Linked DNA regions of Arabidopsis thaliana. The protein of the gene in region 1 interacts with the protein of each later gene in a pairwise test. Each region holds a gene or a part of one and is shown on either strand. Other genes may lie near its edges. The genes, in order: MOS11 and UAP56a.

What was found.
Region 2: the proteins of MOS11 (region 1) and UAP56a interact in a two-hybrid assay, tested with the Arabidopsis thaliana proteins (one study listed by BioGRID).

The regions. Positions count from the first base shown.
Region 1 is NC_003076.8:620,066-636,464, reverse strand, and holds MOS11 (Protein MODIFIER OF SNC1 11), read left to right. Parts: upstream 1-7,184; 5' UTR 7,185-7,296; coding exon 7,297-7,622; intron 7,623-7,745; coding exon 7,746-7,832; intron 7,833-7,924; coding exon 7,925-8,062; intron 8,063-8,169; coding exon 8,170-8,233; intron 8,234-8,334; coding exon 8,335-8,364; 3' UTR 8,365-8,400; intron 8,401-8,492; 3' UTR 8,493-9,431; downstream 9,432-16,399. Other genes in the region: CDL1 (Protein kinase superfamily protein), read left to right, coding at 1-99, 175-566, 657-920; GSTL3 (Glutathione S-transferase family protein), read right to left, coding at 1,607-1,609, 1,995-2,075, 2,168-2,275, 2,372-2,448, 2,531-2,633, 2,707-2,805, 2,891-2,977, 3,172-3,232 and 2 more; GSTL1 (glutathione transferase lambda 1), read right to left, coding at 3,980-3,982, 4,138-4,215, 4,308-4,415, 4,506-4,582, 4,660-4,765, 4,858-4,956, 5,056-5,142, 5,249-5,387 and 1 more; AT5G02760 (Protein phosphatase 2C family protein), read right to left, coding at 9,648-9,869, 9,966-10,202, 10,360-10,721, 10,797-11,088; SGR9 (RING/U-box superfamily protein), read right to left, coding at 15,513-16,364.
Region 2 is NC_003076.8:3,544,075-3,560,473, reverse strand, and holds UAP56a (DEAD/DEAH box RNA helicase family protein), read right to left. Parts: upstream 7,379-16,399; 5' UTR 7,277-7,378; intron 7,160-7,276; 5' UTR 7,141-7,159; coding exon 7,028-7,140; intron 6,796-7,027; coding exon 6,695-6,795; intron 6,374-6,694; exon of another isoform or gene 6,238-6,373; coding exon 6,065-6,237; intron 5,966-6,064; coding exon 5,734-5,965; intron 5,654-5,733; coding exon 5,535-5,653; intron 4,851-5,534; coding exon 4,794-4,850; intron 4,702-4,793; coding exon 4,517-4,701; intron 4,409-4,516; coding exon 4,264-4,408; intron 4,174-4,263; coding exon 4,090-4,173; intron 3,996-4,089; coding exon 3,932-3,995; intron 3,839-3,931; coding exon 3,828-3,838; 3' UTR 3,456-3,827; downstream 1-3,455. Other genes in the region: GLR2.6 (glutamate receptor 2.6), read left to right, coding at 145-1,478, 1,590-1,905, 2,016-2,422, 2,641-3,213; APT5 (adenine phosphoribosyltransferase 5), read right to left, coding at 8,488-8,559, 8,713-8,771, 8,863-9,012, 9,098-9,190, 9,419-9,529, 9,610-9,700; VAMP713 (vesicle-associated membrane protein 713), read left to right, coding at 12,630-12,849, 13,052-13,242, 13,400-13,563, 13,759-13,845, 13,975-13,993; AT5G11140 (phospholipase-like protein (PEARLI 4) family protein), read right to left, coding at 14,406-15,131; AT5G11130 (Exostosin family protein), read right to left, coding at 15,750-16,399. UniProt on the Arabidopsis thaliana protein: ATP-dependent RNA helicase involved in pre-mRNA splicing. Required for the export of mRNA out of the nucleus. In addition to ssRNA and dsRNA, binds dsDNA, but not ssDNA.

The DNA.
Region 1 (16,399 bases):
CGAATCTTGTTAACTTAATAGGATATTGTGCTGATGGAGATCAAAGGCTTCTAGTCTACGAGTACATGCCCCTAGGTTCACTTGAAGATCATTTGCACGGTATGCGCTTCTAAGATCACACATGCCTATGAGAAGTCTTTAAATTTCAATCGGGTGATGCTTTTTTTATTTCAGACATTTCACCTGGTAAGCAGCCACTTGACTGGAACACCAGAATGAAAATAGCTGCCGGTGCTGCAAAAGGTTTGGAGTATCTGCATGACAAAACCATGCCTCCAGTGATCTATCGAGATTTGAAATGCTCAAATATTTTGCTCGATGATGATTACTTTCCAAAGCTATCCGACTTCGGGTTGGCTAAACTTGGCCCAGTTGGGGACAAGTCTCATGTGTCCACTCGGGTTATGGGAACATACGGATACTGTGCTCCCGAGTATGCAATGACAGGCCAGCTAACACTCAAATCAGACGTTTACAGCTTCGGTGTTGTTCTGTTGGAGATTATAACTGGTCGGAAAGCAATAGACAGTTCAAGATCTACTGGAGAACAGAATCTAGTCGCATGGGTAAGAAAAAAAAACAAATTGGGAACAAACTTTGTTTTCTCTGCGGATTCTTCCTTCTAATTGTATTCTTTGAAATGCTCTCTATGTCAGGCAAGGCCTTTGTTTAAAGACAGGAGGAAATTCTCTCAGATGGCTGATCCAATGCTTCAAGGTCAATACCCTCCGCGAGGGTTATACCAAGCACTCGCTGTAGCAGCGATGTGCGTACAAGAGCAGCCAAATCTTAGACCTCTCATTGCTGACGTCGTCACTGCACTTTCTTACCTCGCCTCCCAAAAGTTTGATCCTCTGGCTCAGCCAGTCCAAGGATCCCTTTTCGCTCCAGGGACTCCACCTAGATCAAAGAGGGTCTGAAAATAATCCCGAGAACCGCAATGCTGTGTAAGTTATGTAGCTTAAACCCATTCCGTGCTGTCTTTCTTGGAGAGGAAAGGTGGATGATTTTCAGACTAAGTGTGAATGTATGGCTTAAGAGCTACTTGTAGATATGTGTAAGAAGAGATAGATTCATATAGAGGCCGGTTTATAATGTTGTTATAGGTGATGTTGTTTAATGTAATGTTTATTGAGCGCTTGCTTTCAAATGTGACAATTTCTCATTATTGTACTGAGGATGTCTGCTTCGATTCCAAAGTTATTGTATAAATATTAAAGTACTATAGTTTTCAAAACTTTAATGTGTGAGATTTTGATTGTATTGATATCATATTACAATGTCAAGGATTGATTATTGGTGAACAGTCAAATATAGATCAAGCTGTTGCTGCAAGTTAACTATACACCTTATCCTTATTGCATCATCTGGTTCTTAATGTGTGAGATTTTGATAGTATTACTATCATACAGTAATATATTAACAATGTCAATGGTTGATAATTTGATCAACACTAGAATACAGATTAAGCTGTTGCTGCTTAAAGTACAAATCTTATTGCATCATCAGGTTCAAGTACACATCTTATTTCTTCATATCCAAAGACCACCTGTTCGTACAAGGTGGTTTGGTCTCATACACTTTACTGCTTCGTGCTTGCTTACAGTTACTGCAAGAATATAACCGGAATTAGACTCACATTTAGTATAGACCATTAACCGAGAAAGTATTAAACAAGTCATTTGGCCATAGTAATAGGCTAGCTGATGATTAGTGCATGGTCTTTGCTTTCAAAACGTCTAAGTCGCAAAACGCTCGTTGGAGAAAGATGAGATTGTCTCTGAGCCAGATGCTAAACCGACTCGGTTTTCATTCCCAAAACAGAAAACTAACCCAAAGCAACGAACATTCACACCTAAACAACCAGATGCTTAAAGGCATATATAGCTTTTATGTTCTAACCCCCAAGAAAATATGAAGCAACTCACATTTGGATCCATTAAAATCATGTGGTAGTTCAGTTAAAAAAATTATATCCTAGTTGTATGACTTACCATGAATTTTTTCTTGAAAACCTCCACAATCTCCTTAGGATCCATTTTCGTCTGTGCATAGCCATCGCTCTTGTTAATTTCCTGCAAACATAACACCGATCGCTTAAGTACCATTCCCTAGTGAGGATAAGTGTAATCTTTTCTGACTTAATGAAGATTGCATATATATATACCTCAATCCATGCTGATAGTTTGGGACGTTCGGCAGTAATGTCGCACTTAAATAATTCATTGAGTACAGTTTGGAACCTTTCAATGAACGGGATATAGGCGATATCAACCTTGAAAAAAACAAAGAATTCAAACCGTCCATATAAGAATTAAGACAAACAAAAGGCGAAATGTATGATCTCAAAGAAGGTTAGTGAGGCTTATACCAAGCTTAACTGACCGAGGAAGAACGGCCCGTCATCGAACTTATACAGAGCGTTTTCCAGATAATCTAACACAGGTGCTGAAACAAGAACATGAAATTTTTGGTCATAATTTTGTCGCCTTTTCACCCCTGAAAACAGTTGAAGAGTTTAAAGTCTCACCGGTTTCTTTAGAGGGGTCTCCTTTGAGTGACACATACATAGTTTTAACGAAAGTATCAGTATACTTGAGCAACTCGTCGCCAAACTCTCTTTTTGCATGATCCTAGAGAGGGAAATGAATAGTGGAATCAGAGAATAATGAAGGGAAACCATACTCGGTATAAGGGATGTGTTACCTCGGGGTAAAGAGAAGGCCCTTCAAAAGTGTTATCAAGATATTTAATCAAATCCAGACTCTCCCCAATGATTTTTCCATTGTGCTCAAGCGCTGGCACCTGAAAAAGATAACGAGAAGTTTCCACTAAGTCATAACCAAAAGTGGAATGTCACATATGAACTCGTGAGTTATAAATAGAAAACCTTGTTCTCTGGATATACTTTCTCCTTGTACCAAGCAGGCCTATTCCCAAGATCCAAAGGAACAAGTTTAATCTTTTCTTGCAAACCCTACAACCACCGGAAACCAACCAAAGAATCCAACTACTTTATAAATAGAGTACACATATGCAAGAAAGATAAAAGTTTGTGAGACGTCAAATTAACAAACTTCAACAAGATAACCAATCCGGCTTCAAATATCCCTAATACGACCAAAATATTGTTAAAGGTGAGAGACTAGTACAAAGGAGAAGCTGTTAAACCTTGAAGTTTCGAGTGATCCAAACTCGTTGAGCAAATGGGCAAACGTAGCTTGTGTACAACCTTTGGTAACACAAAACAATAAGAGGTTAAGACATAAGGGAAATCCAATAAACTACAGAACAGAGCTAAAACCAAAAGCATAAAAGAAGCAACATTGAAGATTAACCTTGTGGTTCCGTCGAAGAGAGACGGTGGATCAGAAGTAGCATCAAGCGGAGCTGGACGATCTTCTACAAAACTGTCTCAATAGAATCAAGCCACAGAAAAACTTAAATTCCCAATACAGCTGAAATCGAATAGACTTAATGTAAAAAACATGAATTTTGCGAAACTTATAATCCCAAAATCGATCAAACTCAATAAAGACTCTAAATTCCGGATAAGAACATAGATCCTTACATAAAAGAAGGAGCCATTGACGATACAAAGATCTGATTCTGTAGAAGAAACTACGGATTTTTTTTGTGTGGAAGCGTTTACGTTTCTCGAAATTACAGTCATCATCGTACACGTGGCAGTTTTGTGATCTTTGTCGGGAACTCCATAACTCATAATGGGCCGTAATTGATACAATTCAATAAGGTATTCAATAAGGTATTAAGCCCATTTTATTATTGACATTTGTATTATCCGGAATAAACCATGTCTCTCTCTTTGATGAATGAAAGTAAACAATACCAAATATCTCTTATTTATCACAAAATGTACAATACCAAATCCAGAAATTTATAACACTCTCAAGTAGTAATATTTCTTCTTCATAAGCCATCATGGCATCGTTACCAAAGTCCAACAGATTTGTTACTTTTACTGCAAATAAAGAAAAACCGGAATCGGTTAGTTTTGTTTTAGAACGTTAACCGGAAATTGAGTTAAGACAAAATTGCAAAGCCTAACATTAAAGTAAAAAGGGCATTTGAGTCCAAATAAACAAAAGTTTAAACGTTTATAAAAAGCGAAATTACCATGAATCTCTTGAAGTAATTGACAACATATTCGGAGTCGGTTTTGGTCTGCGTATATGCAACCATCTTGTTCATTTGCTGCACCACACACATTGAGGTAAAGCAATCAAGTATGCAGCTAAATCATACAAAAGTTTTACCATGTTGACATGCATATATCACACGTGTACCTCAATCCAAGCAGCTAGATTTGGCCGTCCGATTATAATTTCATATTTAAAAACTTCGTCGAGGAAGACTTGAAAGCGTTCGATAAATGGGATATATGCAATATCAACCTAGCAAACAAAATCGAGTAATTTTGTAACCATAGTGACACATTCAAAAAAGGTTCATTCGCACTTAACATTTTGATAAGACTAATATACCAAACTAAGCTCGCCAAGGAAGAAAGGACCATCATCAAACTTTTTCAGAGCATTTTCCACGTGATCGAAGGCTGATGCTGCGTCAAAAACACACATGTTTCAGCCTTCAGATGCCCAAAACAATTGACAAGACACAAAAGAAAATCAACCTTACCTGTTTCTTTAACCGGGTCACCTTTGAAAGAGCCAAACACAGTTTTTACAAATGTTTCATCGACATATTTCAACAGTTCTTCACCAAACTCTCTCTTTGCAGAATCCTAGACCAAAAATTTCAAAAAAACAACATCTCATCGAAATATTGTTACTTACATGACAAGAACAAGTCTATAACATGCCAACAAGGTCATACCTCAGGGTAAAGTGAAGGTCCATCAAAATTGCTATCGACATATTTGATTAGATCAAGACTCTCCCCAGTGATTTTTCCATTGTGTTCAAGGGCAGGAACCTACATACATCATTATCACAATCTTTTAGAGTCTTCTATTGTCACTTTTGAAAGAACGTTAATTAGTTTATAAGGATTAATCATAAAAATAAACGGCACCTTGTTTGCAGGATTAACTTTCTCCTTTAACCAAGCTGGCCTATTAGGAAGATCTATAGGAACCAATTTGATCTCATCTTGCAGACCCTAAAACTCCCCAATGTCAAACAAATCAACAAATCTTGCTTATAAATTTTTCATCTCGATCTCAATTTACATACATATATACCATAAATATATAAAAAACAAGTACCTTGAGGTTTCTTGTAATCCAAACACGTTGTGCAAATGGGCAAGTGTAGCTTATGTACAACCTTGTGGTTCCGTCGAACAGAGCAGGTGGATCAGAGGTAGCATCGAGCGGAACCTGACGATCTTCTACGAAAATTTTTCTTGATAAAGGAAAAAAAATCAAGGAGATGAATATAGATTTAACAAGAAAAAACGACTTTATACTAATCAAGAAACCTCATAAAGTAAACAAAAAGGATCTTACGGAGGAGATAGAGCCATGGAGAGGATTTGATAAGAGTTGTTTCTTCAGGGGATTATTATTGCAGATATGATGTTTTAAAGGAACTATGGATCAAACACATAAGACTACGTATATATATTATATATATACTCAATGGAAATTGGAATTAGGAATTAGGAAGAGGCTTGGTTCATGCTTACCCAATGGTGACTACCAATAGAAAAAGGTAAACGTACGTCAGCGTTTGATTAATCTCTGTCGTTGAACTTTCTAATTTTTGTTGTGAAGGTCAAAGATATTGATCAAAAGCTTCTACTAGTTTTGTTTGCGAGAATACTAATAATCACATACGTGAAGTCTAATCAGTTGAATACGTGAATACTAATAATCATATTAATTTTTTTTGGTTGCTTTGTGATGATTTTTCTTTATATCAAATAAAAAGAGTTTAAAAGAAGAAAAAATGGTAGATGACTAAATATTTCAATTGAAAGAACTATTTTTGTTAATTACTGTGATATCTTTTTGTAATGCTTGTAATGTTATAATAATACGATTGGAATGACACACACACAACGAAAAAAACTATTTTTGTTTTCGTCGAAATTTCATTATGACAAGTGGACAAAAACAAAATGCTGGTCAAAAAGCTCAGTCTGTGAACCACGCCATTGGATGCTACCTCACCGAATCATCTATGCTCAATTCGTATCGTATAAATAATTATTCTTTTTGTATATGAAAATATTATAATTCTTTCATGCCTTTCTTTTCTTTCTTTTTCTGGTAGACCTTAAGCTTCTGGTTAGTGGTTACTAATATTTGTATCAGAAGATACAATCAAAATTTTATGTTTTCTTTGAACGTATCTAAATTTAAAAAATTTTACATGTCATTGTCTATACAGATTTCATTTTGAAATATGAGGTGAAATTAATGAACCAAAGAAACCTTTTTTCTTTTTTTTTTCTTCTTTTTTTTTTAAAAAACCTTTTTTCTTCTAAATGCTTTTATAGTTTGTATTCATATTTTCCGATCGTAAGAAGACTTTTGTAGATTTTCACATAGTCACAGAATATACCAAACGGTCAAACAAAGATGCAAAACACATAACACATACTGACATAAAAATATATTAAGAAAGTTTGGGAGATCTTTAAGTTCTTTTGCAGCATTTAACGACCAAACAAAAACTAAAGAGGTCTGCAAAACATTATCTCATCCACACTTAAAACACATCTACTAAATGCTTTGAGTAATACCCACTGATTGCTTTGGTTGATTATTACACTAAACTTCGTTCTCAGTAATCCGGCGCTAAGAGAAAGTGCAACGATGCTTAAAAGGAGGAACAAGTGTTGAAACGAGACATGCATACATCATACATATTCAAGAACGGATGAAACAAGACGGGAATGTTAACAAAGTTCCAATCCTACATTCCTACTTCGCCGGCCGATAATTCGTGGACGTGGTCACGTGGTGGAGAAGATTAAATCATAAAAAAATGAAATTATGAAACGATGTCGTTTTATTTTTTATTTGGGCCGGGCTATTTAGATCAGACCCGGATTGTAAGCAAGTTTAAATAGACAATATTGCCCCTTATTTCGGATGCTTAATGTATCGGACTATAATTTAGATCCGATCCGGCCCATAAGAATCAAGTTTTAATCTGACTATATTACCCTTCGTGTCGAAGGGCTTTAAAAGTCCCCGAGACTCGACGGTTCGACTCTAACCCTACAATAGTCTTCTGCTAAAATCGCGAAAGAGATATCTTACGAATCTCCACAAGTGCGAATTTCGAACGGAGCTACGATTCCATGGCGACCAACGGAGAGAAGGTCACGGCTACGGTGGTGAATGGCGGAGGGCTATCTACTGGTGAAAACCCTAAGAAAATTGTAGACCTCAACACTACGGAGTTAGATCGTACTGACGACATTCTCGACGGAGAAGTCAAGGGATTTTCAGATTCTGGTGAAAAGAAGGAAGAAACCGACTCTAATGGTATTGGATCGACGGCTGGTGTTGATTCTGGGGATATCTCTCCGGTCGATGATATCCAGAAGAAGATTCGACGTGCTGAGAGGTTTGGTGTTTCGGTGAAATTGACCGAAGAGGAGAAGCGCAATTCTCGTGCTGAGAGGTAAAGACTTTAATATTTATTCGTTAGATTCCGTCGAATTTAGGGGTTTCGAAAATTAGGGTTACGGAATTTTTTATACTTATTGTCAAACCTATGTTGTAAGGAATTTCACCTTCGGTGCAGGTTTGGTACTGTAGCTGCAGCAGTGGTGAATGGCTCAGAGGGAACGAAGAAAGCAGAGGAATTGAAGCGAAAAGCAAGAGCTGATAGGTATGTCACAATACTTTCTTTGTACTTGATAGTTGTTTATTGGTTGGGTTTAGAGAAAAAGGAGTTTCATACTCGCTTTGTATTTTGAACAGATTTGGGGTTCCTTCTGCGACCTCTACTACTGATAAGACTGAGGAAGAGGCAAAGAAGAAAGCTAGGCTCGCTCGTTTTGGAAAAGAGACTAAAGTTGATTCTGCTGAAGAAAATAAGCGCAAAGCTAGAGCATTGAGGTACTTTTTCTATGCAACCTCAAATTCTTCTAGTCCCTGAGAACTGAAGTACTGTGCCATGCTTTCTAATTATTGATTTTTGTGGTTTGTGAATTTCCCATCATTAGGTTTTCAAAAGAGGCTTCAGCAGATGCATCTTCAGATTTACCTGAGAAGCAAATTATTGGCAAGGTAAACAGTCTTTTAACTTCTGTTGTGTCGTCCATCTGATAGAATGAGAGAATTGATAGAAAAGCTAATGATATCTCTTGTTGAACTCTTTGTTTCATCAGGAGGCAGCTGTATCAGGAAGCGCTGCCTAAGGTTCCTCAATAAAGTTTTTCCGTCTTTGTAGTTAGGTGAGTTTTTCCAGATAATTCTTATTGCATTGCAAACTCTTGTTGATACGATTTTTTCTCGTATTTGACTCCATAATCTGTTATATGGGCAGGTAGTGTGCTAGCGTTTTATGAGTCCCTCTCTGGCTGCTTCATTCTCTCTTTATTTCTGAATTAGAAGTCCATGTGTGTAGTATCTTTACTAAGTTCGGTCGTGGAGCAATCACCAGATGAGATCTTGAGAAACCAATAAGTAACCTATAGTTCTGATTGTCTGAAATGACAATTATCAATGTGTTTAGGACCTAGGAATTCTGAAGTGGCTGGTATTGATGTTTTCCATGTTGCAGGTTCTTGGAGTGGTAAGTATAGTTTGATTAATAACTTTATTTCGTTTTAATATATTGGAATGTGGATGGTCCTTTTAGTATTGCATGTTCGTATCAAGCACAAGCACCAGCAATTGAAAATTTGTACTGCATGCAGCAAATATTTAAGTAAGGGAGACATTTTTTTACTGTTTTGAACTAGTTAGAAATTAGAAGTGTTGATTACTTTTGAGTTGTGCCTATTTTGCTAGTTTTTCTTAGTCTTGGTTACGAAATTTAGCTGGTCTACTGGTGTTCTGTGCTTGATTGCGAATATTGCATGCAAAATGGATCCCATAAACATGTGTCGTTCTTAGGTTACTTAATTTCATATGACCTCTCAAGCCGCTACTTCAGAATTTCTTTGTCATGTAAGACATCATTAGAACTATAGATGTACTTGTTGGTTTCCATATCTCTGGTCTCTATGGCAGTTGAAGGAAAGAGAGCCTCAGATTCTAAATTCTCTGTTCGTGGGACTGCGTTTTTGCTGGCTTCTGATGCTACACAGTTTCTTTGTTTCTGTAATAGATTTTAGATAAACTTTTGTTGATACTTGCTTTCTGTTAATTTTGAATGAAGCGCCAGAAAACTTTTATAAAGGGAATGTAATGTTAAGTTTCAACACATTTCTTGGCTATCTACTGTTTTGTGCCTAAACTCCAATATGTTGCAACGCTTTCGAATTTTACCAGCGTTGACATTGATGATATTGCATGCAAGTACCCTCGTGTATAATTTTGCATACAGGGGTACATGAGAATTCATGTTTTCTTGTGGAGAACATATCAAAGATCTCATAACTTAATATTGTTTCTAGCTATACTACTAGTTCTTTTCTTGACCCTGGCTCCAATTTATTGCCCTTGACACAGGAAGTGTTTTTGCCGTAAGATCTGTTCATGATGTTGAATGCATCGGGTATCCCCCTCTAATTGACAGAGGTGAAGCCCAAGAATTGGTTTTGACCGGGTGGGGGTTGAGATAGACCACAATAACGGTTATATCGTCGTGGAAATGCCTTCTTACACCAGGATGGATCTCTGTTAGGTCTGAGTATCTCATCTCTCTTTTCTTTGCTGCTTCCTTCAATGCAGCTTTAAGTAGTCTCCTTGCTATTCCCTGTGATTGTGAAGGTATTAGTATTAACGAATAGTTCTTGGTGTGCATTGTGCTAGTATGTAACGTATTTGTATATGGGTTAGGCATTGAACTTACTTGTCGAGGGGAATTATGCACAATATCAACAGCTTCCTGGTTGCTAAGATGCTCCCAAAGCCCATCTGAAGCAAGAATTATAAACTCATCTTGTGGGCTAAGCCGCGTAATGGTGACTGATGGATCCGCACTAAGGATTGGCTTAGTGAAATGTTCTGGTAGTCTGAATTTGGGCAGCAAAGGTTCTCTGTTGAACTCTGCTCTTTTGAGGTATGCATCACCTATGGATCTTGTGACCTGGTTAAAGGTCATAACACATTTGCTAGTCAGTTTTACATCCTTACACAAGATAGGCTTCAATATATGATTTTCTTAAGCTTTTGTATTTCATAGAAACTGATGAAGCAAAACTCTGTGCAGGTTATCAGATGCGTTATCATGTATGAATGTTTACCTGGATAACGCCTTTCACACGCCACAAGCGGTGCTTCATCACAAGAATGGTGGGGTCATTAGGATGCAATGACCATAGCTCTTGCCTCGCAGACTCAAGATTGGCATTGTGCTCTACAGATAACTGAACAGCTCTCACTCCACCTCTCTCAGATCTGCCCAACACAGCTCTGGAATCTCCCGTGTTTGCAATATACACCAATCCGTTGCATATCACTCCTGCCAAGCAACATGACCCCACTGATGCCATCTGTGGGTTCGTAGGCCATTGCTTCGTCACTGTCTTGAGAAAATCTTTGTCTGTCTCGGCAAATGCTTTGCTGATCACCTGCTCTGAAATCTCCCTACCCTCGGACGCAAACTCTGTTCATGTGAGACCAGTGTTAGTGTGCCTGGCAGATTCAACAATAAAGGAAATAAAAAAAGTCGGTGTCTTACTCTTTAACTTGGGGAAGATGTTGTCTGCAATGAATCTGGAAGCCTCTGGACCTCCATGGCCATCGTAAACTCCAACAAATGTGCCTTGAACTGTCGGATTGTTGAATGTAAGCGGCCCTGATTCGATCTGGCACTGATCCTCCATCACACTGTTGGCTTGGATCATTGCCATGGAAAACTCTCCAAAGGTGTGAAGACCAAGATCTTTGTACCATGTCAAACCATCAACCTTTGTGGGATTGATCTTACTTCTCTCCATACCGGCACCTATTCTCCAACAGGGTTTAACCATCTTTCTCAGGTATGTAATCTTCGAGCAATATCGTAATATAAACAGAGAAGAACTCTATATAGAATAAATTGATGGAATAATGATAAACTAGTAGTAGCAGTGCTGGTTGTGAATTATGAGATACAAGTTTAAGGAAGGGACCATATATATATAGCCGTGGAAGCCCTAGAGTAAGTGTGAAGGTGTTGGAAAGCAGGGAAAGAGGCCAAAAAGGGTATGGGTCAAAATAACTGAAAAATTAAATGGTTCTGAGAGTTAAGACAAGAGGGCAGTAGTTTAAAGTGGATATTCAGAGATTCTCCTCTTTACTGTTCGATGATGATTCTCTGTCTTAGTAGGGCTGTCATATTCTTTTCTACTCTCTCCTATATTTATAACATCATGTAGTTATTATTGCGTTAAAAGTGTCTCTCCTTTCTTAGAGGTTAATAATCTTGTAAAAACTTAGGAAGCAAGAATGTTCTCATTATATGATTAATGACTTCTTAGAGGTAACAATATCTCATGTAAACGTCTGTTTTCACATTGGTTGTGTGTTAGTGTCTTTATTAACTCATCTTGTAAATGAGTTTTTGGCTTTTGTTTGCAAAGTGGTAATTTGTGGGAAGAAAATGGATAGAAAAGGAAAGGTCATAGGATGCATGTGTGGGCGTGGGTTTTGGGAGCATTGAACTTGGAACCATTTAAAGATTTGAGAGCTGAGAAAGACTGAAGAGAGAGGAGAGAAGACATTTGTGGGGCGACTGAGGAACACTCTTAGCTGTCTTAACCCCTACAGGTCTTTGCCCTTTTCTCAGTCTCTCGTCTTTCTTTTTTTTACCTTTTTCTTTAATGTTATCAAAAGCTGATCTCTTACTTGTTGTGAGATTCAGATCGAAATTCATGTCATGGATAATTATGGGGCTGAAATGAATTTTCAAAGAGGATGGATCTTTTTGGTACTTTTGCTAAGTTCCATTTTGCATGACCCCTCATTGGCCTTCCTCTGTCCCTCCTCGTTTTTTCTGTTCATAAGGATCCACCGATTTGATGCTACTGTAGAGAGAACCACTGTCGTGTGTTGATAGACCAATTTCATCAACGAGATTGTTTAAATTTCTATATGTTATCTAATGCATATGTCGAAGTTAGATCGAGTTTTCGTTTTTCGTCTATCTTTTTGTTGTGCTTCGAAGTTAAGAATTCAACAAGTGGGTTACACAACTTCCACTTCCACTTGTTTTTTTTAATGATAATAATCTCTTGAGACAAAAACATGTTAGGCTCCCTAATTCGATCTTTTAAAACAAGAAAAAACACACACACAATGATTTATAGTGGTTTACTTTAAATATCAAAATTACGTTATCCTTTTGTTTTTGTTTCTTCTAGCTCACGAGTCACAAACAATGAGAAATGATAACAATGATTCAAATAAGGAATACAAGTGGATCCGCAACTTAGGCTCCACAAATATAATAAACGGATTAAAAGATACCAAAAAAAGAATTTTCGTATTGGATGCATATAATTTAGGTTTAACCAATTGTTATATTGATATTGGATTTACTTCTACTTGCTTATTAATTTTGTTGAAAGGTCTTTCATTCATTTCTTATATTTGGTTTCGCATATGACGGTTCCACTAGTTCGATAAGGCCAACCTCATCAATTGGTGTGACTTGACGCATAATTTGGTAAAAAGTTTGATGCAATATATAGATCTAATTGAAGTCAAATCAAAAGAGTAAGAAAATCACGTGTAAGATAGTCTAATACAAATAGAAAGAATGGTCCAGGTACATTTTATCTTAACATATATTCACAAATAACTTTCATAAATATTGAACCATTTTGTGAGAATCACATGTGGCCTTGGAACGTATTGAAGGGTCCTTGAATGCACCATTACAGTACATACAGTGTATTTTCATGTGCTCTCTATCCTTAATTAATTTCCTATCCTTATTACGAAAAAAATTGAACAACTTCAGTCTCGATCGTTTTGATTTAAAAAGATAACAAGAAAGAAGAATAAATAAATATTATAGAATAGAAAACAAAACAAGTTCCTATATCAAAAAAAAAAAGAGTTGTGGTGACAGCTGGGCCATTGATGCACTGTGTTTTGTCTTTTGGTTGAGGGAGCATGGATGTCAGTCTATCTCTTTAGCTTCTTACTTCTTACTTATTAGCTTTGTTTTCTCTTTTGTATTGTTTAATATTTAGCTTACCATTGGTGTTTTTATTCAACATTCATTAACTTACTTCTTTAGTAACTATATGTCTTTATCTATATTAAGGTTTATCTTCGATAGAAAGGTCAATTTGGTATTCGATATCACACTATAATCTGAAGTTAAAATGTCTCGGGTTGTCTTGTTTTTTCATATAGAGAAATACCAATATCAAAACACTTTCAATATTAATGTATATGATAGATATGTAAATGATTGATTATGGAGTTACTTCAGTATCTGCGATATCCATGGTTGGAATTGCTTCTACAAAGTTTACATCGCATGCATCGATGCAAGTATAAGACAAACCTCCTCAGAAAGAAATAAAACAAATCGAATAATATGGTTTTATCAATTAATAAGAAAATTGAATGCACTCGCATCGACACTGTCTCTAATTTGAAAACTGATGTTATCAACTACAGTATTTAATTTGGAGTAAAATATAAACGAGCATTTAAGTACATCTCATCTTTCGAGAAACCTAGGTTACAAGTAAACTGAACCTACCTTTAAGAAAAGGAATCTTTAAACGCTAATTATATGTGTTTAAGCGTACCGATATATAAGAAAACAGATCCAATTTAGCCTAACATTTTCTTTAGGTTTGATTGATCACAAATAAGAAAATGAATAAAAGTGGAGACGTGGGCACGTAGAGTAGACGAGAGTAAATAGAATGCATGGCATGCAGGAAACATGAGACAGACATCGTGAAGGTCCCATATTGTCTGGTCGATCCAAACCTTGACATATTATCACAACACTATCTATCTAGTAACTAGTGTTCTTCGTATTGTCGTAGTACTTTATCAATTATCATCTCATCACATTGCAATTAACTAAAATTTTTATATAATATTAGATTTTGATTTTGTTATCTAGCTAGTTGCAATTGTATCTGGACGTACTATTATCACTTTGATTTTGTACCTTTCATTAGATCTCTCATCTTAGCTTGCAACTTAGTATCCATCATCATTATTTTCTGCAATTTAAAAAAATATTTTCTATGTACATGTAGTTAATACATTAGAATTTTATTTATAGCTCATACCCCAAAAACTACGCACATATTACATATGTATATTATATTAATTATTAACAGTAAGCTACATAAAATTTGTGGATTTGCGAATTAGACCAACCGTTATTACGTTAATAACAATATTGGAACTTTGTTTTCAAAACAAGAGAATATATCATCGAATCCACTGTCAAAACATACAAATTATCGAAGTAGCTATACTTCGACAGTTTGATCTGCGTTCACCAGGAATCACTTGTTTTAATCGCGTATTTTCATTTTGACGAGCGCAATTTTTACGTGCAAGTGTGCAACTATTAGTTGGTTCTCATCAAGATTCAAGACATTTCTATTTATCTCAAAACCTTCGATGGTAGTTTGATAGATATGTTGATGATTTGTTCAATTATTTGTTGAGAAAAATACTCTTCGAATCTTATATAATATTATTAATATTAGAATATTTATCTTCTTTTGTTTTTCTTCGTGACTTTCCAGTTTTCACGATAGAATAGATGCACATGACTTTTTGATCAACACTATTTAATTGATTGATTTGATCAAAATAAACTTTATTTAGATATTATTTTCGTTATGATATTTATATCATAGTTAGTTATATGAACCGTTATTTGTCCTGGTAGAATCGGCCCAGCTTTGAGAATGTAAAGCAAGCTTCCATTAAATTATCTAACTTGTATTGGGCTACGTAAGGCCCGAATATAGAAAGCTCAAAAATGTATTTAAGCCCATTAGTCCCGAGACTGAAGAGCAACGTGAAATCATCAATGGATGGTGATATGGGGAAAAAAATTGTAACGCGATCTTTTGTTTGTTGTCGACATGTCATCTTTTGATTTCATTTTCCCACCGATTGACTATAGAATATGGGAACAAATACATGATTGAAACCAATGCTCATATACATGAAACAATTAATTTTATTTTTTTTGGTCACTATTAATTTGGTTTCTATTACAACATATTTACGAAATTCATCGTACTATTAACACAAATGTGTCTTTCTCAAAATATAAACTATTTCGATATATCAAAACGGTCCAAACATTCCTATCTATGACAATTACTTGATATATTATTCTACATAGTATATTAGATTACGATGTACAGGCTTCTTTAGTTCCTCTTACACATGTACCCATCACCGCAAACTGAGATTACGCCACGTGTAACTCGCTACTCTTGACGAGGATCTCCCATAACCGTTGGATCTCTGAGAAGACATCGTCGGTGGGAAGCTGAAACCTGCAGAACGGACACGTGTTCTTCTTGCTTAGCCACGGCAAGATACACTTCCAGTGAAAGAAATGCTGACATGGCATTTCACACACATCTCTTCCTTCGCTCATCTCTTCCTTGCATATCACGCATTCTACTTCTCCGGCGTTTGAAGCGGCGACGTTGAAAACCTCAACCGCCCGTAACGCCACCACAGCCGCTCTAGCGGCTGGAACTTGGTAGCCTTCTTTTTGATCTCTTCGACGAAGATGGTTATAGCCTCCCATTATGTCAACAAATCTTTTGCATCTAACTAGGGTTTCTATGTACGGCATCAAGATTCCGGCATCGCAAGTCCAAAGACCGGAATTATTACTTAACATATTATTAGAGTACGTATTACCGAGAATTTCCCGCCAATTATCAGCGGAAGCTTCTAGAACATCTGGATGAAGCTGGTGGGTTTCGCAGAGAAAGAGGAGGAGGACCACCGCGTCTAGGTCCCGGAGCTTCATGGTGACGGCGTAGGAGGAGTGGTGTTTACGGTGGATGAGAAGAGGATGGAGGAGGGAGAGAAGATGGTTGGCGATGAGGTGAGTTTTGTCAGGAAGAGATAGAGAGAGGAGGTGGCGGAGAGTGAGGGAGAAAAGGGTCGGAGAGGAGAGGACTGCACCGAGGCGGCGGCGATGGTGGTGGGAGATAGAGAGAATGGAGTGAGTCAGATTCGTGAGGTGTGAAGGAGAAAGAGCAGAGAGTGACGCCATGATGATTGTGGTGTTTTCGTCTTCCATATTAAAGATCTTGTGTGCTTCGTTTCTCACTTCTG
Region 2 (16,399 bases), 2.9 Mb from region 1:
TTGAAGGCAATTTGAATTGGATCCCACGGATCAAATCTCAAGTCCTCTCTACATCATATTTTATAGAAGCTATGTTTTAGTCATTTCTAAGCACATTTTGAGAAATGACTTCTCAAATAGGAAATATTAACTTAAACTTTGCAGCTTTATACTTGATAAAGAAGAGGGAAGTGGTGGCCATTATAGGACCAGGGAATTCAATGCAAGCACCATTTTTAATCAACCTCGGAAATCAATCTCAAGTTCCCATAATTTCATTCTCTGCGTCAAGCCCTGTTCTTGATTCTCTCCGTAGTCCATATTTCATCAGAGCTACACACGATGACTCATCTCAAGTGCACGCCATTAGCGCCATCATAGAGTCATTTAGATGGAGGGAAGTTGTGCCTATTTATGCAGACAATGAGTTCGGAGAAGGTATTCTTCCTTACTTAGTTGATGCTTTTCAAGAGATCAACGTTCGTATCCGATACCGAAGTGCCATATCAGTCCATTCCACTGATGACCTAGTCAAGAAAGAGCTTTACAAACTAATGACCATGCCCACTAGGGTTTTTATCGTGCACATGTTGCCTGATCTCGGATCGAGGCTTTTCTCGATAGCAAAAGAGATTGGTATGATGACTAAAGGATATGTATGGATTGTCACAAATGGTATAGCTGATCAAATGAGTGTAATGGGGGAATCAAGCTTGGAGAATATGCATGGTGTCTTGGGCGTCAAGACATATTTCTCAAGATCAAAAGAGCTAATGTATCTTGAAACTCGTTGGCGAAAAAGATTCGGAGGAGAAGAGCTAAACAATTTTGAATGTTGGGGTTATGATACGGCCACAGCACTTGCAATGTCAATTGAGGAAATCAGTAGTAACGTAAACATGAGTTTCAGTCAGACCAAAAGAAACACTTCAAGAGATGATACTGGGACAGATCTTGATGATCTCAGCTTTGCTCTCTCTGGTCCCAAGCTTCTTCAAGCGTTGGCAACAGTCAGTTTCAAAGGCGTTGCCGGAAGATTTCAGCTAAAAAACGGAAAGCTAGAGGCGACGACTTTCAAGATAGTCAATATAGAGGAAAGTGGGGAAAGAACAGTTGGATTTTGGAAATCAAAAGTAGGACTAGTGAAGAGCTTAAGAGTGAATCAAACAGGCATTAAAATATCACACAGCTCGCACCGCCTTAGACCGATAATATGGCCAGGGGACACTATTTTTGTGCCTAAAGGTTGGGAATTCCCAACAAACGCAAAGAAGCTGCGAATAGCAGTTCCAAAGAAGGATGGTTTCAATAATTTTGTGGAGGTAACAAAAGATGCAAATACTAATGCTCCAACGATCACCGGGTTTTGCATAGATGTTTTCGACACGGCAATGAGACAAATGCCTTATGCTGTCCCCTATGAGTACATACCCTTTGAAACTCCTGATGGAAAACCCCGTGGAAGTTATGACGAAATGGTTTATCATGTATTTCTTGGGGTAAGTTACATATTGATCCCTAAGTTTTTTCTTTTTTCTTTTTTTGATCATAAATGTAAATTATTAGCCGAAATCATGAGACCTTTATAAAACTTTTTCTTGTTCTTACAGGAGTTTGATGGAGCAGTAGGGGATACCACAATCTTAGCTAATCGGTCTACATACGTAGATTTCGCGTTGCCATACTCGGAGACGGGTATTGTAGTCGTGGTACCCGTCAAGGATGAGAGGGAAAAAGGAAAATGGGTCTTCTTAAAGCCTTTAACAAGGGAGCTCTGGTTCCTCACTGCAGCTTCTTTTCTCTACATTGGGATCATGGTTTGGATTTTTGAGTACCAAGCAAGTGGTGATTTCAGGAAACAGAGCATTATTAATAAAATATCTAATGTGTTCTACTTCTCATTTTCGACTCTCTTTTTCGCACACAGTGAGTTTTTTTTTTTTTTTTTTTGTTGTCACACATCTTCAGCTTCTAATCATTCCAATTACTTGCAAATCTTTGAAAAAAGAATCTGATATAACCACATTTTTTTATAGTGAGGCCATCGGAGAGCATTTTCACAAGGGTTCTTGTGGTAGTTTGGTGCTTTGTGTTGCTTATTCTGACTCAGAGCTACACAGCAACATTGACATCGATGCTGACGGTTCAAGAACTTCGACCAACAGTGAGACACATGGATGATCTGAGGAACAGTGGAGTTAACATTGGATATCAAACTGGTTCCTTTACATTCGAAAGGCTGAAACAAATGGGTTACAAAGAATCGAGGTTAAAGACTTATGATACTCCTCAGGAAATGCATGAGCTTTTTCTTAAAAAGAGCAGCAATGGTGGTATTGATGCTGCATTCGACGAAGTCGCTTATGTCAAGCTTTTCATGGCTAAATATTGCTCAAAATATACCATTATCGAGCCTACCTTTAAGGCTGATGGCTTTGGCTTTGTAAGTAAACCTGGTTACTTTTATCTAGGCTTTGAATAGTGGCAGAGGATGGGGCGGGACTAGTACAAACCGCTTTTAGCTACCACTAAAAAGTATTGGTCTATAGCATTACGAATAAAATATAGACTCTATCCATGCTACGAAAATATGTTCAAACCATCGAGTTTGTTCTTAATATGATTTTGAAATGTGTTTTTGGATCTCCATTTTTTTTGTAGGCCTTTCCATTGGGATCTCCTTTGGTGCCAGATCTTTCAAGACAGATCTTGAATATAACGGAGGGAGAGACCATGAAAGCTATAGAGAATAAGTGGCTCCTCGGAGAAAAACATTGTCTTGACTCAACCACATCGGATTCTCCAATCCGGCTCGATCACCACAGCTTTGAAGCTCTATTTACGATCGTCTTTGTTGTTTCTATGCTTCTACTCTTAGCCATGTTGGTTTGTAGAAGATACCGCCAAGAAAGCAAAAGCGGCGAGATCAATGCTAATAATTCGCCAACAGATGGTAACATGAGAGCTCCACCTAATCAGCCAACAGATGATAACATGAGAGCTCCGACTAGTCCGCCAATTGATGATCAAGTCCTTGAGCCACCTGGTCCAGCATTAAATGAAGCCGATGATCAAGATCAGCTTCTGAATGATGAAGTTAATGTTGGAGATCGAAATGAAGTAGATATTATTGTGGAAGTCGACCCAACTTTGGTTCACCGTAGAAATCTGATCACCTCAAAAACAATACCCACCCGAAGAGCTGCACTATTCTCGAGGATTAAGTCTGCATAGGCTCTGATCGTAGTCTTTCTGAATGAACCTAATTATTATGTTCTTTTGCGTGTTGTTTTTTGAGTTTTTTCTCATGCAAAGGCAACAGACTTGCCTCTTAAAAAGTCAAAAGACAAATAGGCAAGGACACATTGACTCCTTCAAGTTGCCTTTTTCCCCTAACCATTGTTCCTTGGATATAAACTTTTCAATATATAAAGTAACCATATATACGTGTTGTATCTCTTCCACACTAAATGAAATGTGTTATAAAAAAAAAGCATCACATGAAGGAAGTAACGCTGATGAATGACGATTCTTAGCAACACCATGATAAATTGATAATAGATCGATTCCTAAGGAACACAGTAATCAGGTCGAGACTAAATCCTGATATTTCAAACATAATAATCTCTTGTACAAAAAACTGGACAGCTTTTAACTGTGCGATTTGGAGAGTGACTCGAATCTCCTTTAAAGAGTACAACAGACGTTCTAAACATATGGAAAAAAATGTCGTCATAGAAAACACTAAAACAAACGGAGCGAGAGATAGTTGTGAACCCCCATCACCCTTCGAACACCTACAAGGTTGAAATCTGAAGAGCTTCTTTCCTGAGGGACGTGCTACTTGTTTAAGAAGGCACTGAACAAAGAAAGAAGAAGAAACAACATTAATATCACAACCAGACAAAACCAAGCTTTTAAACAAACAATTGGTAAGGGATTTCACACTTACTGTAGGTTGAAGTATCAATCTGCTCCGGAAGTTCCTTTATATCAACCTCAAACCTCTCTTGTACCTGTCCAAGATTTATAATTGCCACTTTACTAAATATCCAACTCAATTTCAAGAGGAGTTTTCCGTGGACTTATTACAAAGATTGAACACCATACCTGGTTAAGAACCTCTGAATCTGAAGCAGATGCAACAAATGTGATTGCAAGACCCTTGGTTCCAAATCTACCAGCTCTGCCAACCTATACCATACACAGCAAAACGGTAAAGTTACAAGAGCCCTTTCAGTGAGATCAACAATCAAATAATAAATTTCAGTATTATATACTTACCCTGTGAAGATAGGTATCAGCAGAATCTGGCATGTCATAGTTGATGACAATGTTGACACGCTCAATGTCAATCCCTCTTCCTACCAAGTCAGTCGCCACAAGGATCCTTTTGTGCCCTTCCTTGAAACTTTTGTATCGAGTCAACCTACATAACATATCGTATTAGCCTTAAGAATTGGACTCCTCTCCATGAGGGCTTTAAGAGCAGGTAGGGTCCTTCAAAAACATTGAATTTTGAAGAGAATGTACAGACCTCTCTTCTTGAGACATTCCAGAGTGGATGCATATTGAGGGGAAATTGCATTCCACCAGTAACTTGTTCAGCTCAGCAGCCCTGCTCACGCTCTTCACAAAAATGACAACTTGATTGAAGTCCAACGCATCAAGAAGGTCATTCAACTTCCGGTTTTTCTCCATCTCGCTCAGTTTGATATAGTGCTGTTACAGTATGACAGTAAAAGGTCTTTTAAGTATCAAACAACAAACTATATTTCCATTGAATAAGAAGACCTAACACCAGATAAGAGTACCTGGACAAGCCCATGAAGAGTCAACTTGGCTTCATCATCGACATATATTTCCATTGGCTGAAAGGAATAGATATCAGGTAATAATTAGCAAGCTTTTCTCAGGAAATGATTTACACTACAAAAGTGAAGATGGATGTAAAACCCCTGATCTGAGATCCTCGTCCACCAGGTTCTCTTCATAGATGTGAGTTTTGCTATGATACAGCGATATTGCTCGGAACATTAAGGCCCATACAATCACAATGAAACCTTGGGACAACACAGTACCCCACCCAAAACCCACCCAGCACTGCTAGAATTGCAAAGAAATTGAAACTGAATAAAAGGTAATGACGAAAGAAGATCCTGTTGTGCAATGGTCACTCATTCATACCAATGCTACAGAGGCTCACACTCACAGTTCTCGATCCCTACAAACTACCCAAAGCATTAGTGGATTGAGACCCATCGAGAGATCAGTTGCAGCTTTTCCAGGGCAGAACCGCAGAAGATGCCCAAATAATGCTATAATCACCCATAGAAACCATACCAAAGCTACAGAGTCTCACACTCACAGTTCTCGTTCCCTACAAACTACCCAACCATTATTGGATTGAGACCCATTGAGAGATCAGTTGCCGCTTTTCCAGGGCAGAACCGCAGAAGACGCTCAACTAATGCTATGATCACTCATAGAAGGCTAAAAATAGTTGAAAACTAGAAGACTTGCAAAGGGAGAGAGAATTGGCCATGGAACATTACATCTTGCATAAATTTTTTGCAGACTGGGCGTATCTCTTTGCTGAGCGTTGCTGAGAACATCATTACTTGTTTGTCATGAGGAGTCATCTTGAAAATCTCCTGCACATCCCTTCGCATGTCTGGTAAAAAAAAAGTTAAAGTGTTAAAACATAAAATTATTCAGGGATCGATGTAATAATGATGTCAGAAATCAGCATACCAAGTGACTCGAGCATTTTATCACATTCATCAAGAATAAAATGCCTCACATTCTTCAAAGAGAGATCTTTCTCCCTGGCAAGTGCAAGCACCCGACCAGGGGTACCAACAACAATGTGAGGACATTCATTCTTCAGCAAGTCTTTGTGAATTTTAATGTTGACTCCACCATAGAACACCGAAACCTTTGTATCAGGCAGATAGGTACTGAATCGCACAAACTCATTGCAGATCTGCAAGTAATTGTCAGCATCAAGGCAAAAAGCATTAGAGGAAGAAGACGTACAACAAAACTATAAGCCAAGAACCTGAGTGAAACAAGAAGGTCATACCTGGTAAGCTAGCTCTCTTGTATGGCACAAGACAAGTGCAGAAACCTGGCCAGGAGATGGTTCAATCTGTTGTAGAGTAGACAGGACAAACACAGCAGTCTTCCCCATACCAGACTTTGCTTGGCAGATGACATCCATGCCCAAGATAGCTTGAGGGATACATTCATGTTGCACTGGTGGAGAACCAAAGAAAATTGTACCGAAGAAAGCCTTTATAAGTAGATGATAACCTCCATATCTTTTAAATTGGTGGCTTTAGCACATGTTTAAGCTCACTCCAAACCAATAGATTGAAATATCGTTTATTACCTGGAAAAAGTAATCAGTGAAACGTTAATAAACAAAGAAAACAAAAACCATTATAACAGGAAATAAAAAAGAATTTGACCTCAACACAAACTTTTTTTAATTTAGTTAGATGATAAGCAAAGGACCAAGATAAAGTATAAAATATCTTTAACCAACATATCTTCTCAAAACTAGACGAAGTACATATAATTAAAAGTTTCCGGACAACTAAAACATCTTATGGAGAAGTCACTTCTGTAAATTATACAATATCATTCGGTAATAGAATGGTGAAAGGCAAGGCAGAAAAGTCAAAGGTAGGGTGTATTTCATTGTAATAACCTTCAGATGGATGTTCAAATCCAGAGTCAACAATAGCTCTGAGAAGCTCCGGTTTTAAAAGGAAGTCTCTGAATCCAGAACTGTGTATTCCCACGTACCCTCTGTCACAAAGAGAAAATACAAGATGATAAACACATGACCGTCTAATATTGGGTAGGTTCCAGGAATTTTAGCATTGAAGAACTTAGTCAATTGTCATAAAGTTAAGCAACTAACCAAACACATAGATAATTGAAGAACTTAGTCGGTTGTTATCAAGCAGTAATCTAAGAAAACCCTAAATTTAAACATCCACTATCTCATGAAACAGATCGAGGAAATCATAAAACTCACTTTTTCACGGCTTCACCGTTAACTTTGTTTCCAGAATCTGGGACCTTCTCGTCTTCTTCTTCATAGTCCAAGAGCTCCTCCTCGTAGGCTTCGTTGTCTCTAGCGTCTCCCATACTTCGCAAATTCAACAAGCTGCAGAGAAATTTCGGGTAAGATTCCAAATCCAAAACATTAACCTAAGATTCAGTAGGAAAGCATCTTCCATTGGAACTTTGGATAAGCAATTGAGTTCTCGAGCGAGAATTTTACCTGAGATAAGGAGCAGAGTTGGTTGGATCTCGAAATCGACTAGGGTTTCGAAATCTCTGACTGAAGAGAATGAATCACCAACGCCGCGTTGGTGTCGTAAATAAATATATACAAGGAGACTGGATAGGGTTGACAATAAGCTTTACTTTAATGGGCCTAAAGTTTTTATTAATCGGCCCTTCTGCGCCAATTATTATCTAAGTTTTTTTTTCTTTTTTTCTTTAGTGGGTTCGAGTCAATTTAGACAATGACGGTCAGGGCTCGTCTTGGTTTAGTGGGTTCGAGTCAATACGAACAGAACAGTAGAGCACAATAGATAACAAATTGGTTTAGTTAAGATATTTCATTTCCCTTAATAACAATGTTTTTGTTTCAAGGACCCAACAAAATTGTAGGCCCATTAATTAAAACAAAACCCAATTTAGACTGAGTTCAACCATATCTTTCACTCTCTTTGGAATCGTTTGGACGAAGCTCAGATATTTTTACTCTTGCAATTCAGAGATTTCGAAACCCTAATCCGATTTCGCGATCTAACCAGCTCTGCTGAGTTCTCAAGTTATCCATCAGACTCTTCTGTTTATTAGCAAATAAAGCTTTGTAAGGAAAGCCATTGTGTACTTTCACTTTTATTGTTTTATAGTCTTCAATAAATAACACATACAGTAGTTTGCTTATGTAATAATTTGTATCATGAAAACTTTATTAACGATTTTCAATTTATAATTTGAAATCAGTGAAGTAAGTTGTTAAGTTTAGGGAGAAACAAAGAAAAACTTGCAGCAGTGCTGAAGCAAAAATATGGACCAATATTGCAGTAATGAATAGTTTTGTCGTAGAATACAACCAACTTTATCAGTGCTCAGTAATATCAGCATTAAATTTAGTAAACCTACTAGTTGTACTTTTTAGATTTCCCGCATAAATTACGAACGTATCTTTACCCTTTTAATGATTACAGTTATTATAAACTGATTAACATGAGTTAGTGATCCATCAGAAATTCCACCAAACCGGGAAATGTAAAGACTCTTTTCAGTATCTCGGTTTTTTACCAACCACTGCCGTGGAAAGTACACATCAAAATTCAAAATCTACAGAGATCAATAAACGAGAACGAATACAAGAAGTTGGAACCCTAGAAATTTTGAAAAAAAGAACATGAACTCTGCAGGGAAAGAAAACTGAACCGGAAGTAACCGGTATGTATCCTAACAGAACTCATCTAATCCACTAGGCTCCACCAACACATAAAGCGGCTTCCCTTTGAGCTTGTGTTGCCCCTAAAAACAATTCAAAATTTTCACAAACTCAATGAGCAAATTTGAGTTGAGATTATAACAAAAAAACTAACTCTATCACTACATTTTAGAAATCATTTCAAAAGAACAAAACCAGAGATAACTTCTTAGACAAGTAAGATAAATGTGACTCACCTTGACTTCAGGCAAGCCAATAACACAAGCACACTCAACAACTTCAGCTCCTTGGCTCTCTGTAAAACGTCAAACTGTATCACATTACAATTCAAGACCAAAAAATTCTCTTTAAAAACTGAAAAAGAAAACAAGAAGAAAGAAAGAAACCCAATAGGCTCATTGCGGCAGAAAGAGTGCCGCCAGTAGCAACAAGATCATCAATGATAATGACGCGTTCGCGTGGCTCAACAGCGCCAACATGCATCTCTAAACGGTCATGCCCATACTCGAGCTCATAAGACTCCGATATCACTTTCCCTATATTTTATAGTTTCGCCAATTTTTCAGAATCTCAAGAGCTTCTCTATCACAATAACCAAAACAGATAATGCAGTAAAAAAACCTGGTAATTTTCCTGGTTTACGCAAAGGGATAAACTTTGCGCCGATGGCTAATGCAATGGAAGGACCAAACAAGAAACCTCTTGCTTCAACTCCTATATAATACATTTGGATGTAAACAAACATATTAATTTCTTAATGAAGAAAAAGACAATTCTTGTTTCTCCTTTTTTTAATTGTCTTTTGTTTGCTTATATGATGTAAACCCATTTTAGAAAGACACATAGTTTTTGGCGTTACTTAACAAACTTGATGACGAAACACTGTAGTAAAGAAATGAGAGGATAAGGAAGAACAAAGGAAAAAAAACAGAGGAGTCTTACCAGCAACGACAGAGATTTGCATGTCTTTGTAACGATCTACGAAGATATCAATTGTGTGTTTAAACGCCTTGTGATCCAGTAACAACGTAGTTATGTCCTGAAACATAATCCCTGTCCAAGAAACAACTTCAGAGAATTGCAAAAACAGAACAAAGAACAGAAAAAACAGAGGAACAAGAAGTTTTAAAGACCTTTCTTAGGGAAATTAGGGACAACCCTAATGGCTGCTGATATAGCTTCAAGCCTTGGATCTCCTTTGAGACCATTCTCCGCCGCAAACATCTTTTCTCTCTCTCTTCTCTTTCTCACTAAAGTTTCAATTCTGAGAGAGTTAAGGAGCGTCTTCACTTGTGTGTATTAATCTCTCGCACTCTCTCTCTCTCTTGAGAGAGTAAATGGGGAAGAATTCAAAGTAGGAAACAAATAAATTTCCCTCGCAGAAGAAGGAAATGAAATGAAATGAGATCAGATCTTCTCTCTTCTCTCTCTCTCTCTATGTCTCTGTCTCGCTCTGTTCCTCTGTTCACCACCAGTTGTATAGAAAGTGGGTGAGAGAGCATTTAATATTTAATAGTAGTGGAGAAGAGTGTGTGTACCACACGCGCGAACTGGGTCGGCACACAGGTTTTTATGAACCGCAATAAAATCACAATCACAAGCGTTAATGGATACTGTATTAAAGAGAGTGAAGAAAGATCCGAAGAAGAAAAGAAAATCTTATGGATCTTCGAGAGAATCTTTTGGCCTTTAGCTCTTTCTTACTAGAGTCTCGATCAAAAGACCTATAAAGGAAAGAGATTCGATACTCTGCCAAAAATAAAAAACATTTTTCTATAAAAAGAAGTACCCATTCTCCTAAAACTAGTTCACATTCCATGTTTTGTGTCTTGTCTCCTCCATACACAGCTACACTTGCCTCTCTTTTTTTTACTATATTAAAAGTTTTGTGAACTGTAATGTGTATTAAATAAGTTTTTACAACTTTATATTGGTAGGCGTAGGGATAATAGATTTTGGCTGTTAATGTTAACCAAAATCGCACCTAAAACCGCACTGCAACAGTGCTGTAACAGTATCAAAATCTCTACATATGTATTTTCGTTACTATTTGAACCGCACCGCACTTCTCCCGCACCGCAAAACGCAGTCACCATTCGGAGCCTTTGTGTTAGTTTTAGTTACCTCTTTTTTCCTTAAATCGAGGTGTTTTATATTTCTTGTCTCCTACATTACACTGTTTGTGTTTGTACGAGTACTGATTTTTGTAGATTGCGTTTATAACATTTAGATAGTAGTAGTACAGGTTTTTATGTGAATTCAAAGCGTAAGTAAAAAAGTACATGGGGAGCAGATCACCGAATACAAATAAATCAGCAATAGAGTCAATATGCGTCCAGAATTGAGTGGTACATGCCAACTTGTATAACAAAATTTCTTTTGTATGGTACGGGGTTAGTTTTGAATTCAGGTTTAAGATATAATCATATAACTCTATAATTTAGTTCAGCTCTATATAGATTAGTAAAGGATATAGAATAAATTTTAAATATTATTTTTAAATACGTGTGAAAGATCTAGACTCTTCTAATAATTAAAACGGGTATAAATAAGAGTTCAATAAATAAAGACCCAAAATAATTGCTAATATGTAAGAAATTAGCATAATGGATTGGTGACTTCATATATAAGTGAAGACCATGTTTTTGAGAAGTTAAATCATACCCCTTTTCATGAGCAATTTCAATTTTAACGATATATGTTAAAACAAAATTTCATGTCAGAAATGTGAAGTACTGATTTGAAGTTTGTGGCTTTGTGCTAGTTCACCGAAGATATTTTATTGGTATCTTCTATGCTTCTATGAAAATTCTATATACTGCTCTGTTTGCATGGCACGAGGCCGCCAAATACACAGTTCAAGAAGTACTAGCCTCGTGAAGCATGTGTTTATTACGATTTCCTTAGCCCATGTTAGGTCCGCCTAAATGATTTCTCGACCTCAAAAACCACTTAGCTTCCAAAATAAATAACAAACGTATAATTACAAGTGAAACTTTTTCAAAGTTCAAGATTTTGTGAAGTTAACATCTATATGATCATAGTTCACAAGAATTCCACTATAACAAGTATTGTTTTGATTCAATTTACAGTGATGTCTTTCATGCTTCACTAGAGAACATACAAAGAGACTTCACTTAGGAATAATCTTTCTCCGATAAAGAAAAACTCAAACAAGCCCACTACATGAACTATGCAAAGAAACAAAACAGTCCAAACAACACTTGGGACAATAGAATTTCAACTAACATAGTATTTTTCTAAAAGCTTACAAAATTCTCTTAACACAGTTTTTTCTGTTTGTTTTTTTGTTAAAGCTAGCATAGTATATATCTAAAAGCTTAACCAACAAAATATTTCTAATGATGTAAATTATCTAGGTCGTGTTCTAGATAGGTATATTGTTAATTAGATCGTTCCTCCACTGATTACATTTAGAGAATATGAGGTAGATAAGATTTAAGGTGAAAAGCAAAAAAACAAAAACAAAAGTCTATTGTATAGTTGGGAGGGTAAATGAACCTCGTACCGAGAAACCCACCACAAACCTAAAGGAAAAAAATTGAAGTAGAGAGATAGAATAACAATAAAGTTACAACTTCGAGGAGATATCCCAAATCTCGTTGTCTAACTTTATAGCTTTATAACAAAAATCATTCACAGCTTTTTTACACTTTCATTTGACTTTTGTTTATACAGGGATTTATTCCAACTAGCTTCATGATGGGCGATTATACTACTGCTTGTTTTTTTTACCCATACAGAAAATAGCCCAAGAGTTTCTGTATATATAGGCCCAAAAATCCTAAAAATAAAATAATGGGCCTTGTGATATCAAATTTATATGTAAGCCCAAGAGTTTTAGATTGAGGCCAGATATTTTTGTTGCGCCTGATATTTTCAAAATTCAACTTTTTTTTTCACTGTAAAGCGGGCTTCTCCGATATCCTAATTTCAATTTGTAGGGTTCCTCAAAATCATTTCAATAATTCAATTTCAGATGTATGGTGATGCTTCTTTGATTACAAATCGGCGTTGAACAATTCTCCGATTTTACACTCTAATCGAATCACTTTGGGGTGTTTTGTTAATCGCTGTTCTCAAGATCTGAGATTTACAGGGAGAAGTGAGCTGGAACAAGGTGCCGGAGTAGATGGCGATCATATTTGCGTTGGTGGCTCGTGGAACGGTGGTGTTATCGGAGTTTAGCGCTACTTCGACTAACGCTAGCTCAATCTCGAAGCAGATTTTGGAGAAGTTGCCTGGAAACGATAGCGATAGCCATATGTCTTACTCTCAGGATCGCTACATCTTCCATGTGAAACGAACAGATGGTCTTACCGTTCTCTGTATGGCCGACGAAACCGCCGGAAGTAAGCTGCTTCTCTCGCTAATTTCATCAATTTTACATGATTTGGCTCTTGTATTTGAGTGTCTTCGATTTCTGCTGAGATCTTATATCAATTCTGGGGGATTTGATTGTTGTTTCAATAGAAAGATGCTGATAATTTTCTGGGAGCAATTTGGTGATGTTAGGTTTATGTCACTTATGATTTTGCTCTGATGTTGCGGCAGGGAATATTCCGTTTGCGTTTTTGGATGATATTCATCAGAGGTTTGTGAAAACATATGGCCGAGCTATTCATTCAGCTCAAGCTTATTCCATGAATGATGAATTTTCAAGAGTTCTGAGTCAACAGATGGAGTTTTATTCCAATGATCCTAATGCAGACAGGATGAGCAGAATCAAAGGTGAAATGAGTCAGGTAATGTTACAAAATCATCTCTTTTTTGAAGTCTAAAGTATATGTTTGATATAGCCTATTACGACACATACATGGACATAATGATTTGCTCGATACTTTATGCAGTATTGTAGCTTTATTACTAACTATTACTAGTGACGTTGATTTTGTTTTTCAGGTTCGAAATGTGATGATTGAGAATATTGATAAAGTTTTGGATAGAGGGGAGCGTTTGGAGTTGCTAGTTGATAAAACCGAAAATATGCAAGGCAACACTTTTCGTTTCAGAAAGCAAGCTCGTCGTTACAGAACCATTATGTGGTGGAGAAATGTCAAGCTTACGTAAGTTTTCTGATCTAAAATTCTTCCCAACAAACCTGTTTACCTGATAAACTTGACGAGACAAAAACTAGCAATTTCGTGTTGAATTGATAACTACATACTGTATGTTTGAAAATATATTTTACAATTTTACATTCTTGGTGGAGTTTTTGTTGTTGGTTTTCTCTGCTCATGATGCTTGTTATTTTTCTGCAGAATTGCTCTGATACTTGTACTAGCTTTGGTTGTGTACATCGCGATGGCCTTTGTTTGCCATGGGCCAAGTCTTCCTTCTTGTTTCAAGTAAGAAGACATTCTCTTATCTTCTTCACCTTTCCCTTCTTGGGAATTATCAGACTCTGCTTCGATTTTGGAATGTGAGATTATATGCGTTTGTCTAAAATGTGTGTTTATGTGATCTTTCAATTTCAGCTTCTGCTTATTGCTTTGAATTACAGAGTCGATTATTTATTTGTAAGTGTGATATTTCACTGTTAATGATCATCCCCTGTCTGTTTGCAATTTATGCTGCGGCGTTAAAAGTTGTATTAAATGATGACGTTTTTAGCTTTTGCTTGATCTGTGAAGAATTTTCCAACTTATTAAGTTCTAGTCACATGGTGAAGAACTGAAGATTGGCCACATGGAAATTTGGTGTTTGACTAACATATTCAATCGAAAATTGAATCAACTTATATTATGGTGAAAGTTTTTCATCTTTTTGTATCTGAACAAATCTGAATCGAAAAAAAGTCAACAAAATGAAAAAGAATCTGTTTTTTCATTCAACGAATAAAGACGAGTTCTCTCTATACAAAAAAAAATCTAAACGCAAAAGACTATTAAGAAATACAAAAACTTCTTCACAAAATGTCCTGAAAAACAGATTGACCTTGAAACTTCTCGACTTTAGATCTCAGAAACACTAATCTCTTATCAAGGCACGTCCGTTTCATCTCCAGCGAACCCAATTTCCCTGTTGTCTTCATTAATTTCTCCCTAAACTCTTTCATCTCCTTCTCTTTCTCTGCAAGCTTCTTCAAACTCAGTTCCATTTCTTGCTTTGCAAGCAATAAACGGTGCTCGCCGGCCTTTTTCTCCATAACTGCCATTTCGCATCTGTCAAAATACCTTGTAGCTTCAAGAACCTCCTCAAGAACGGACCGGAGCCAACCTACTCGGATCTTTGCCGTTTCTATGTCATCAACGATTGCTAGAATCTCAGTGGCCCGTGATTCAGATAACCGACGTAGAGGCGTTGACTGGAGTTCGATAACAACCTCCGCTAGTGTCTCGAGGTGATATGTTCGTGTGGAGAGTGATTGGAGCTTGGAATTCGATGTGATGTCTCCATACTTGTCGAAAATGCTTTGAAGAGTGGAGGAGAGACTAGCTTTGACTTTGTATTCTCCGACGGAGACAACGTCCCACGAATCAGAGGTTGTGATCACAAGAGCCTTGTTCAATGGAGAAAAAAGAAGCTCAGGGAAGAGTAGAACAGAGTCTTTGTCGTTATCATCATTGAAAACAGAGTATGCACTGTTCCAATGAGGAACATGAAGTTGAGAGATCTCTGAACATAAACTCATCTCTGTCTGTTACTTAAGAAACACAGACAGAAGGAGAAAGTAGTTGAGTTCGAGAAAGAGAAAGCTTTTTGTTTTTTTTTGTTTGTCACAAGAAAGCTCGAGAGAAAAGTATAAAGTTCTCTTGCTCTCTTTCCATCTATTTAAAGGTTTATTTCAAAGGCTTTGAGTATTGTATTTTTAACGATATGTTATTGTTTATTGGAGTTAGCAACGATTCTGACTTTGACTCGACGATCATCGCTATGATCGCGTTCTTGACTTTGTCAACATTTTCTGTTTTAGGAAATTCTATTTTCTCAAACCAGAGGAACAAAACAAAAAGGATTTTAAAAAGGAAAGTGTCAAACTAGAACGAGTCAGAAACAAGGCCTAGGCTGAAGGCCTGAAGCTACGTTTAAAAGTCGTCGAAAAATCTTTTTCAAATGATGATCCTAAATGGGCCTTTTTGGGCTTCCCAACCATTACAAGTAGGCCATGAAAATTGTACGTCCCATTCCCAAACGAAACTTTGGAGGCTTGTTTTAATCGAAAATCAAGAACGGGACATTGTTATATAGTTTCTGAAGATCCTATATTATGTATGTGTATTATATATAAAAGAGTATTACAATATGTAGTTCACTGTGAAAGAGGGATTCGAACATTAAGCCTCCGTAACCAAATAGAATGCATGATCATATGCAACATATCATATGGCTTTGATGGTCTGTTTATGACAAAGTGTTTCCGAACCTCAAGCACTCTTCTTTGCATATTCAAGTACTCTTCTTCTGTTATTGCTTCTAGAATCTTCTTTATGTCAGGCATCTTTGATATTGGAATATGAACCGAGAATGTCTTCCAATTCAACACGTCGCTGAACGGGAGGACGTAATAATCAGCTATGATGACCGGAACACAGCCGGAGTAAAGTGACTCGACAATTCTCGGACTCGCCACTTCCCAACCGCTAGGACATAAACAAAACTTTGCCTTGTCCATCATTTTCGTGTAGTTCATGGTTTTGGGGAGATTCTCGTAGACAAGGACGTCTTTGTCTTTTTCTTTCCAGTGTTGGAAAAGTATTTTTCGGACATCTCCGTGAGAACCGCCCGCGAAGAATGCTAAGAGTTTGCGGTTTTGAGGCGGTTCTCCGGTGTGTACAAACCCTAATTGGCTGTGTGGAATGTTGATTTCCGGTAATGAAACGTCTCTCATTGGGGTGAATCCTTCGGAGGAATTGGCATTGCAGAGAGCTCTTATAAAATGCTTGTATAATTCTGGATCCA